Linked DNA regions of Drosophila melanogaster. The protein of the gene in region 1 interacts with the protein of each later gene in a pairwise test. Each region holds a gene or a part of one and is shown on either strand. Other genes may lie near its edges. The genes, in order: CG9609, elfless and Scp2.

Region 1 (3,831 bases):
CGCAAATCCTAAGTATTTACTGATAAATTAGTTGTTTCTCTTTTAGAAGTTGTGGTTTAAATTAAAGTAGTCATTCAATTGTTAGCCTCTTGACCAGACCTTCTCACTCCCGTCCCTTTGAATGGCCTTTTGCTCTACTCCTGCTCCTTTTCCTCTTCATCCTGCAGGGTCTGTGCCAGCAGCTCCTCGACGGGGTCATCCTTCAGCGACTGGGTGATCTTTTCGAGGACCAAAGGCTGTCGCTCGCGCACCGCCTCATCATCTTCCTTGTCCAATTGCAGGCAGGCCAGTTTGGATAGCCTCGAATGTTTGCTGCGTCCAGCATCGCGTCGTCGCTTGCGGGATGTGGACTTAGTTTTGCCCCCTTCTCCAGTCTTACTCTTGTCCTTCTTCTTGGCTTTCAATTCCTTTTTCGTCGCACCATCTTTGTGATCCCTGAGCAGATGTCTCGCCAGATTCTGCGCACTGCTGAAACAGCGGCCGCAGTCCAAGGCCTGGCACTCGAAACGCCTGCCCGAGTGGGCGGTGAGCATGTGCTGGCGTAGATTCCTGAGGTACGAGTAACTCTTGCCGCATCCCTCCTCGTTGCAGGTGAAGGAGGTGGCGCACTCATCCGTCTGCGCCGCCTCCTTGTGCTTCACCTCGAGGTGACGCTTCAGTTCGCTCGGCTTGTCGAAGGCACTATCGCAGCGGTCGCACTTATGGCGATTCTTGCCGTGCAACGAGTCGCGACAATGCTTCGTATACAACGTCCATTTGTCGAACTGCAGCGGGCAGCCGGGACACTCGTACAGCTTGCAGCTGGGCTCGTGACTCTGGCACTGCCACTGCTGGTAGAAGCCGCGCGAGCACTTCGAGCAGCTGTACGGATACTCCAGCGTGTGCTCCCTGATCTCGTGGCGCTTCAGCTTGAGCTTTTGCGAGAATTTGGCACTGCACTGGCTGCACGGATAGACCTTTGGGCTCTCGTGGGTTTCGCGCATGTGGCGGGTCATGTTGCTAACCGAGATGAACATCTTGCTGCACTCCTCCAGCGCGCACTTCACCGTCTTCTTGGCCGCCGACTCCGGACGCTCGTGGGTGCTGCGCAGATGCCTCTTTAAGTGCGTCACAATCGAGTACGTCTTGTCGCAACCCTCGTACGAGCAGGCGTGCTTCTTCTGCAAAGTGGTGGCGGCGTTACTACTGGCTTACACTTAACATACTCTAACTATACTCACAATCCCTGTGTGATGATACTCATGGCGATCCAATTGGTCCAGCCGCTTGAATGTGGCCTCGCATTTGGGCATGCTGCACGCGTACTTGGCCGAGCCGATGCTGTTGCGGCGTCCCTGGCGCTGCTTGAACTCCTCCAGAGCGGTCTCCATATCGCTGTCGCTGGCAATTTGCGTTCCAGGCGGCATTTTTGAGGGTTTTTATCTCCGAAATATTGCAATCTCTTTTTTTTTTGTGTTTTAGGTTACCGCGACATCCGCAAATGTCGTGGAATTATTTGGCCACACTCGTGTACGTGGAAATAGCCAAGGACTTAAGGTTGAAGAGATTGATTTTATTTCAATTTGGTGTAGCAAATCTATAACTTATAGGTTTCTTTTAATTTGGTGTAGAAAATCGATGATGTCCCTGGTAAGCGTTTATGATTTCGTTTTTGGAGAGATGGTAGATTTTTTGGTATTTTTCCAGGGCTGGAAATTGCTGCCTAGCAGTGTTGTACTGCAACAACTGAATAAGATGTACGATACGTTATCGAAAACGTTACATTGGTCACATTATTATTCATTTATTCAAAATATAATTGTCACATACGTTATAGCTAAGATTTTTTTTAATGTGCCTGGGAAAAGTTTGCAGTAACCCCGTTGTTTATTTGCAGAAAATTCTGCGTATTCCTTTTCCCAGTCTTTTTGAATGATTCTGTTTAATTCTCCAACTCACTACGGTGAAAATTCCTTGCGTCGATGCATTTAACAAATATATGCTTGTTAGTCCCCCGTCTCAGAAACTACAATCAAGAATTGGTCTGAAGACGAGTATAATAATATTCTATATAGACAAGCAGTCAGATACGCCTGAGAAAAAGGAAATTCAAATTTCATTGCACTAACGTGAGCTAGTGATGACAAAAACGGTAATTGGCTCAACTATCGTACCGGTGTGCGGTACCTATCGGAATTGGAATCAATGCTGGAAAAGGTAACTATATTTTGGTACACGGTATTTTTAAATTTAAGTACTGAAATTAACTAATATTTATTTAATTAATATTTTGTGCGATTATTAATACCAATTAAAAAATATTGATCGATAATCTGGAAAAAAATGCACTTGATATTTAAGATATTTGAGAAACTGCAAACAGTTTCAAATTGTCCGCTCTTGCCAGCTGCGGAGGAATTTCCCCATTTCCCAGTTTGGTCACATCGCGCTGTCGAAAGAAAATTTTTTTCTTGCAAAGAGAAACAAAGCAAAGCAATAGTCGAAAGTGAGAAAGACGAAAGAGGAGACAAAGGAGCGAAACGGAGAAAATCAGAGAAGCAGCAAGCAGAGCAGGAAGGGGGATTGGATAGGAACTCGAAAGCAATCGGCCAGGATCGGGAACAGGATGAACAACGGATTCAGCACCGGCGAGGAGGACAGTCGCGGGCACACGGACCAAACGTGCTGCCTAATCGACGACATGGAGCGGTGTCGCAACCAGGCTGGCTACGCCAGCTACTCCAAGCGCATCCAGAAGACGGTGGCCCAAAAGCGGCTCAAGCTCAGCAGCGATCCGGCCGCGCAGCACATTTACATCTGTGACCACCACAAGGAGCGCATCCAGTCGGTGCGCACCAAGCGTCGGCGCAAGGACAGCGAGGACGACAGCAACGAGACGGACACGGACCTGCACGAGTTCCCCGATCTCTACCAGCTGGGCGTGAGCACGCTGCGACGCTACAAGCGCCACTTCAAGGTCCAAACGAGGCAGGGCATGAAGCGGGCGCAGCTGGCGGATGTAAGTTTGACCTAGTTAACGAATTGAGCAGGCTATGTCCACTTTCTGTTGCCGGATTTCAGTGGGGTAACACGCTGGTCTAATGTGCTCCGTGATGCTCCATAGTTGGCCCTCTTGTAGTAGCCTCCACTCTAAAGAAAAGGCAGAAAAATGTGCCATGCCCTTTATAAGGTTTTCTAAACCCTGTTTTAATCAAGTTGCAAACCTCTACTCTTCTCCCGCAGACAATTATGAAACACTTCAAGACAATACCCATCAAGGAGAAGGAGATCATCACATTCTTCGTGTACATGGTGAAGATGGGCTCGAATAAGCTGGACCAGAAGAACGGCCTTGGCAACGACACCACCTGAAGGCGCGTCGGCGGGCGGAGGGAGGAGGAGGACGCCGACGACGTCTACTCCTTTTAACGCTGGCCAACTGCCGATCAAAAGAAATTAACAACCAAACTTCTCACATTGTTGCTGCATTTGCTGGACGTCGGCATTGTTGACCAGAATAGGGATGAACGAGAATATTGATAGTGCAATGGCTCATCCTCATCCGTGTGACCCCCAAGAAACCCAATCCTATACCCATAAGCCACCACTGCCCAAACCCTTAAGCCTTTCCCCCGACTCCCCGGAACACAAGTAATATGCGAAAAGTAAAACAGCAATGAAAGAACGTAAGGAAGAAGGCAACTGGTGCTCCCACGAAAAACAAAACAAACAAAAATTAAAAATAAATAAACTAGTATGTTGCGAAAGTGAGTCTAATATTAAAAAAGAAATTTACAAAAACTATTTGTAGCCTTGGTCCGTTGTTAATAGCTCTTTATACACGCACTACAT
Region 2 (3,600 bases), on another chromosome or scaffold:
TGTAAATCGAAAATTACCAGAAATTGTCACTTTACATCACGCCTGCTGCAGGACCTATAAATCATACTGCACACACACTTATGCACGGGCGACACAGGAGCCACAATCTGGTCTAGTATTTTGGCAGCGCAGATCCTTTCGGGTATGAGTGTGCGAGTGAATATTCAAATCAGTTGCTGGCTGCCAATAAATGAAACTTGCCACACATCTCACTCACTGAGCGCACATACACAAACACACGCCCACACACACTCTTAAATTGTGTCGGGATATTTGAATGGTCCCGTGTATTTAGCAAATGAACCGTACTTTCTGTTCTGTTTAACTTTTTGGCAACCCGCACTAACCAAATATTACAGACTTTAGCACGGCAAAGCGATCGGCGAACGGGAATCAAGCTAAATGCCAGATGAATGGCACCGTCATTACGACTTTCGCAACTCTCGGGCTGCCAATTAACTCGCCCGATAATTTAATTACGGTTAGGGCCTCCAGGATTGGGTCCTGATGTGTTGCCAAGTCTTATCGGCCAGATCTGCGGCAGAGCAATCCTACGGATGAAATACGCTAAAATCACTGGGCTGATTAAGCCGAATCGAACTGCAATCCGCACTCTGCGCGAGCCAAACGTACACTGAAGTCGGCCGAAAGCGCGCTGAAAGTTAAATCGGAAGTCGAGAACGCGGCTGGAGCTTCCAACGGCTCGAGACAGTCCGAGCGGCACTTGCAACATGTTGCAAGTTCGTGTGTGACTTCGGGAATTCTATGTTGTTGAGTCCGGACTTTCGATCTTTGAATTTCTTTCGTTGTAGGGAGTTACTTCTGTTAGCATATTTTTTAATTTTATGTTAACCATTTAAGATACAAACATGAGAGAATGCTATAGTCGAGTTCCCTAACTTTTAGATGCCCCTTACTCAGCTAGTGGGAATACGAACGCGAAATTCGATCATTTTTCTGGGATATCGATGAATGTGAAAACATTTAAAAATTGTTCTAAAGTCTGGGCGTTAGAGTGGGCATGGCAAAAAGTTTTGTGTCTAATCGATAAGAATTAACAAGACTAATAAAATTATAAACAAATTTGATTTGGGCGGTTTGTCGTTAGAGTGGGCGTGGCAACAGGGCCAAAAAATCTGTGCTGCGTCTATGTCTCTAGAATCTGTCCGCTTAATCACAACCTTCTTGCTTTTATAGTTCCTATGATTCTTTCATACGGCCGGCAAGACAGGCGAACATAGCCAGATCTACTCGGTTTTGTATCTTAATTAAATGGAAATTCCTTCTATTTGTTTCAACGAATCTAGTGTACCCTTTTACTCCACGAGTACCTGGTATAAATAGTACTTCTTAGGGTGACAATCCTAAGCAAATATCCAATTTGGAAATCATGGAAATCGGACAATGATTGTTGGCGCGTTGAAATGGTACTTTTTATCGCAGTGTGACCTTTGGCACTTAAAATACTGGTATTGTGTCCTGGAACTTTCAAGATTTTTTGACATATGTTCAAACAGCTTTCTTGTAAATTTGCAAATAAAAAGCAAGGAAACGGGTTCAACTGAATTTGTAAAAAGTTGTAAGTTCCAAGGCAGAATTCATTGGTAGTATTAAAACTGCAAAAACAGGTGCGATTTCAAATGGGTGATTCCAGCGACTCAGACTCTTCTACTGAATGGGAGCAGAACACTAGGGTTATTTCCTTACCCTTTTCCAGAAACCGTTCACATTTGAGCTCTCGCCTCAGTTACCTGGTAAGTTCATGTTCACCCAGCTCTGAAATCTATTGATAATACACTTTATGGAATAGGTGGGACTTCAAATGGAAAACTTCAGGACCTCGAATAATTCTGGAGTATCACAGCGAATCCATAACACCGGGCCCACTCCCGTACTCGCGCCCTCCGGATTAAGATCCCGCTTACTCAGCGGTTCCTCTGTAAGTTATTGTTCTAGCCAGGTCCCACCCAGAATCCATTGGTTACATTACAACATCATTTAATAGGAGCGGAATCCAAATGAGTATTACGGAGACTCGGACTCCTCAAGCAGCAGCAGATCTATCGACAGAACCCCATTCCTGGTAAGTTCTTGTTCGTTCATCTCGATCCGGAATCCATAGGTTTTAATAGCTTTAACTTTGTTGTGCAGTTGGAGTATTCCAGCGACTCAGAGTCGTCTAGTTCCAGTGATAGTGAAAGCTCATCGACCAGCATTAGCTTCGATAGCAGTATGAGCTCCACCGAATCATCAACACCAATGGGACATACAGAATCCTCAGATTCAAACGAGGATTCTCCTCCCAACAAACGGATCAAATCAGATGACGAGGAGTCCAAGAAATCTGTCTTGCCCTACAACTGCCCTGTGTGCCTGGAAGATGTCCGCGAGAAGCTACCAGTGTCCACCAATTGTGGCCACGTTTTCTGCAAAGCGTGCATTAAGAGAGCTGTCGACACTGGCAGGGTATGCCCATTGTGCGGAGTGGATGAGCCCGAATTCCATCGTATTTTCTTGTAAGACGTGATATGGCAGAAAGCATACTAAACTAAAAATACCACGGTTTTAAATACCACAAATAGACTTGTGGCATATACTTTCGAAAGACCGTAACACAATATTCACACCTAAAGAAACTGTTGCTCCATTATAACAACGCAAACAAAATCTTATCCCAGGCAACATACTCAAGAAACACAATGCAATCGAAAACTTTCAGCTGAGAAACTAAAACTCAAATACAAGACAGACAACTTTGGCCATAAAACATGGCGCAAGGACACACTCGCATACTTGCAGGAAACCCCGGAAAAATGGAAGGCAAGCAATGAAAATTCCGACCTACCGCAATAAATTCCGCGGAAAAACAAAGCAAGTGATGCCAAAATAAGAGTGAAATGGCCAGCTCACACACACACATGAATGTAAATGAAGTGGAATCACCACCTCAGAAAAACTCAGGGACACCTCAGACACGGCCCTGTAAATCGCGCTTATCCAAAACACAACATGGCATCAGGAGGCATTGGAGATTCAGTTTCATTTTCATTCAAAGATTGAATAATAGAAGGGGGTGTTCCATCCCTACCCCAACAACCTTTGACCTGACACAATGCTCTACATTCTATGTTTTTGTTCGAGTTGCGCGTTCGAATCGCGACTGCGCAATAAACCTGATGCCCCAAACAGCTGTTCTAGGCAAGACCTAGGACAACATTTGCATCCTTAACTGGAGGCTGGCCATCCACGTTTACATTGACGTAATCCACTTGCCAGGTTGGATCTATTCGGTGTTGAGATATATCACAAAGCAGTTCCTTTTGTACTTTAATTCATTTTATTACTGAACAGCTTATAATAAAAATTCTTTATGTATACGAGAGCTTAGTTGGTTTAGCCCCGGCCAAGGCAAAAAGGAATTCGAACAGCAACATATTTCTCCAGCAGTCTTTTCCAGAAGGTTGATCTTTAAATTGACTTGTTACCGCTTGCTGCCGTATTAATGCCTATGATAGCGGGCGCTTCACCAGCCGCAAGGACACGAGCTGCAGCCACCACAAGGACCACATGGACCACAGCAAGGACTACAGCAACCTCCAC
Region 3 (3,831 bases), on another chromosome or scaffold:
TAGCCTTTTACTGTTGTTTTGCTAGTTGCTCGACTGGGTTTTTGGAGCAACTTTTCTCAGTGTACTTCGTCCGCTCGTGTGTGAGCCACAACGGAACGTTTAGTGGTCCCACTTATGCGGCGGAGCAAAATGAAGGGAAGAGGCGATGCAGCAGACGTGGAATGGAAGCCCAAAAACAAAAAAAAAAAAACTACATGAAATAGGTGGACAGCTAAACGTTGTGAAATGGGGCCAAACGCTAGAAGGCATTCAAGATTTTAGTGGGTCTTTGGCCAGGCTCATGTTAATTTCAAACTGTGTCAATGTCGGCTTCCGTTTCCTGCACACACACACAGGACGTAGCCTTTGGCCACTTGAGATGCAAAGAGGTAAAAAGGCCACAAATTTAAACATTTGCCCACTCCAACACGCACCGTCGCTCCCACACACACACACACACACTTACAAAAAGAAATCAAGGTGGCCGGAACGAAACATTGGTAAAACGGTCATCTGCAATAAGCATCAGCTGCTGCTGGAACAGCGTGAAAGTGGAACAAGCAGAGGCTGCAGGACACCCGCTGGGCGAGAAGCACAGGATGTGGGCCAAAAAGGCACGGGGAGCCTGCTCCTGAGGCGCTTGATAAATTGGTAGCGACATTTCAGCCGAAACTTGACAATTAACAGCTGAAATACATGAGCTGTATATGTCTGCTTTGTGTAATTAAAAACCCAGCAGACAGCCTGGAAATTGCTTGGCCAAAATGCTTTCATTTTTTTTTCGGTTCTAGCCACTTTCGTCGGTTGGTGGTCCACTCTTGGACAAGATTGAATGCGCCAACAGAAATTATGCCGCCAAGTGTGCCTTATATTGCTGCTACTGCTGCTCTTGCAGCAGCTGTTTTGGCTGCCTTCTTCTTTGGGCCAAATTAACTTTAGCCAAGTTGAGTCCACAGCCAGCCTATGTGTTTGTGTGTGTCCGTGTTGCCTTCTTTTAAGGGAGAGCATGCCTGTGTGAGTGCTTCAGTTTATTGTGTGTGTGTCAAGGCTATGCTAAAAATTTGTCCAGAACATTTGCACATTTTGATTTGTTATGTTGTGGTGCACTGCAAACAATGTCGATGTATTTGGGTGGATGCTGTACGAGTATTATGTTGTATTGGGTCTCATCTACATCATCGTGATCATAATGTGCTGTTAGCAAAACTCAATTTCTTTTAAATCCTTTGGGGTTTATTTGCCAAGTTGTAATTAATTGAATTATTTCCCAGAAGAAATTATTATGTTGATTTATCTTCGAGTATACGTTTGCTGTATTATGGGGAGCGTGCTATAGTTTATTGGTAAATTAGTAATTTATGTTGACTAATAGATTGCCTCCTTTTCGGCTTTATCATTGTTTTTGTGCAGCTTAGACTTTGCTTCTTCGATGGAACAAAGTTTTGCGATAAAAGGGCGATCAACGTTTAAAGTTGGCTTAGGAAAACCTCTAGAACAGTTCTAAATTTTGGTAGTAACTAAACGAGAAAGCCAGCACACATCCCTCAGTGTCTTTTTGGCCACCCGAGGCGTCGTAACCCCTGAGCCCAACATTGTATGCGAATGCCGCTCCGATAAGACGTGCCATTTAATTACCAAAATATAAAGTGCATTCCGGCTACCAGAGCGCCCAGCATGGAGTTTTCTGCGAGTGTCAAATCCCAAAACAAACCCACGAGCAAATATGCCGCATGCTGATGACGACGGCGATGCCGATGTTCGGCTCGTAACAGTGCACGTGGTGGCCAAAAAGCACGCTACATGCACTACATCTACTCATACACTTACTCACACACGCACACACACACACACACACACACACAGGCTCGTGTCGGGTGCAGCACTCACTCACACCATGACGAGTGCAGAGGCGTCGGCAGAGTCGACCGAGACGGCGACTGCGATAAGATAAAGCCCCTGCGATGACATAGAGCACCCAGAGCGCTCGAGTTCTGCCGACGCTGGCAGAGATGGCGGCGCAGACGAGTAGCGCATATAAAAGCCGCTGACTCGATGGCAACGAGCATCACAAGACGGCCAACCGCGCTGCCGAGCAGACGAGTCCAGTTCGAGAGGGTACCAAAATTTAATCAGAAAGTGTAGAGTCAGTTTAGAAGCAACGGTAAAGTTAACGTCTATCTCTGTGTGTGAGTGTGTGTGTGTGTGCGAGTGCTAGTGCTAGTGCACCTGTGTTTGTGCTGAGAGTTTCCGCTACAAGAATAATAATGCCGCAACATTTTTCGAAAAAGCCCATTTCCAAAACCGACAAAAGAACAAGCCAAAAGTAACGAGCACAAGTGGGTGGCTCAAAGAGCTGCGAGGCTCAACAGGAACCAGAGCCCCAGTTTTCCTTGAGTGGGCAGATAGTTTGTGAAAGAAAGGTGGGGGTAGGGTATGCTGGAGGTACTTTTGCAAAAAACACAACCAACCTCTCGACAATTTAACAACTGGAAGAATATTCTTACTTCGCCCCACCTTGGTCAGGGCCATAATGAATTCATTGAAAGCGTGGCCAAAGTTTTGCTCTGGCCAAGCCAAGGAGAAGCGAACGCTGCCGCTCTAAGGATCCTCGTCCTGTCAGTCAGTCAGTCAGTCAGCCAGCCTGTGTCTGTTTTTTCGGTCCTGTTGTTTGGCCAGGCATGCGTCGGTGGCCTTAGGCCGCTCATTGTGAGCTCCTTGGCTCCACAGCTCCTCGGTGGCTGCAAATTGTAAATTGTAAAACTGTAAATTGTCAAACTGTAAATTAATGCAAATTACACGAAATTACTGCGAACCGGACAATGCAACAAAAGGCAAATAGTGGACGCGGAATACGGCGGACAGTGGACAGCGGACCACGGACAATTCCCGGAGCTGCATCAGCAGATAAAGAGCAAACGGCGACGCCACTTGCATTGTCTATTATTTTAAATTGGCTGCGCAAATTTACGGCAGCGCAAAAGTAATTAGCGACGGTTGAAAACTGTGCCATCGTCCAACTCGAATTGAGAATGAAGATGGGTGAGAATTGGAAAAGCGATTGGGTCATCTGGTCATCGGGGGGATTAGGCTGCTGCTGGGATCAGCAAACCGAGTTGTAGATTCCCTGCCAATGGCAGGCCAAATACGTATTCCACTGTCCAATTTGCATGCTGATGCAATCAAAACTACTACAATTTGTCCAGAAAATCGATCAATCGCATGTCTGACAGAGTGTAGCATACTTTTCAGCACTGCCTAACATTTGTCAGCTATCTGCATTTTTTTCGGACCCCATCCCACATTTTATTCTCTAATAATTTATGAGCTTCCTGCCTGCCCTCGCCTGTCGGGAATTCAGATTTTGCATAATAAACACATTGCAGCCCAAACCAAAAAACAAGAACCAGTTTATGCAAATCAAATTGTGTTGATAAACGAGTGGTAGGGTGTTCTCTAATTTGATTGCCCAATAAATTGCTGTATCGAATGAAACCATTTCGCATCTCGCGCGCCGATACTAAAAAAGCAATTAAAGCATTGATGTCTTCATATTGAAATTTATAACTTCACAGATGGCTATTAATTGCCGGAGAGGAGATAAAAGTCTGGGATTTCCGCCATATTTCCATTATTAGAAACTCGTTGCTGCGCTGCATGGCCCGAAAAATGAAAGCGAAACTCAAACAGAACCCAATTAACGAGCCTTCGGCGGTGATGTTGGTTAATGTGGTTGCCTCGTGCCACAAAAGCCGACGCAGTTTTGTGGCAAACAGCGCGTGGCTTTTATGCATTGGCGCATGAGTATTGGTAATTAATGGGAAGGCGGCGGCACAAATGACCGTGCCACAGCGA

Evidence for each region.
Region 2: the proteins of CG9609 (region 1) and elfless interact in a two-hybrid assay, tested with the Drosophila melanogaster proteins (one large-scale study listed by BioGRID).
Region 3: the proteins of CG9609 (region 1) and Scp2 interact in a two-hybrid assay, tested with the Drosophila melanogaster proteins (one large-scale study listed by BioGRID).

The regions. Positions count from the first base shown.
Region 1 is NC_004354.4:16,785,345-16,789,175, forward strand, and holds the start of CG9609 (uncharacterized protein), read right to left. Parts: upstream 1,665-3,831; 5' UTR 1,407-1,664; coding exon 1,221-1,406; intron 1,161-1,220; coding exon 135-1,160; 3' UTR 1-134. Other genes in the region: Sap30 (SIN3-associated polypeptide 30), read left to right, coding at 2,606-2,998, 3,223-3,351.
Region 2 is NT_033779.5:18,009,417-18,013,016, reverse strand, and holds elfless (elfless), read left to right. Parts: upstream 1-1,541; 5' UTR 1,542-1,640; coding exon 1,641-1,754; intron 1,755-1,810; coding exon 1,811-1,939; intron 1,940-2,005; coding exon 2,006-2,083; intron 2,084-2,151; coding exon 2,152-2,520; 3' UTR 2,521-3,374; downstream 3,375-3,600. Other genes in the region: CG31740 (uncharacterized protein), read right to left, coding at 3,524-3,600.
Region 3 is NT_033777.3:16,581,873-16,585,703, reverse strand, and holds the start of Scp2 (sarcoplasmic calcium-binding protein 2), read left to right. Parts: upstream 1-2,040; 5' UTR 2,041-2,140; intron 2,141-3,831.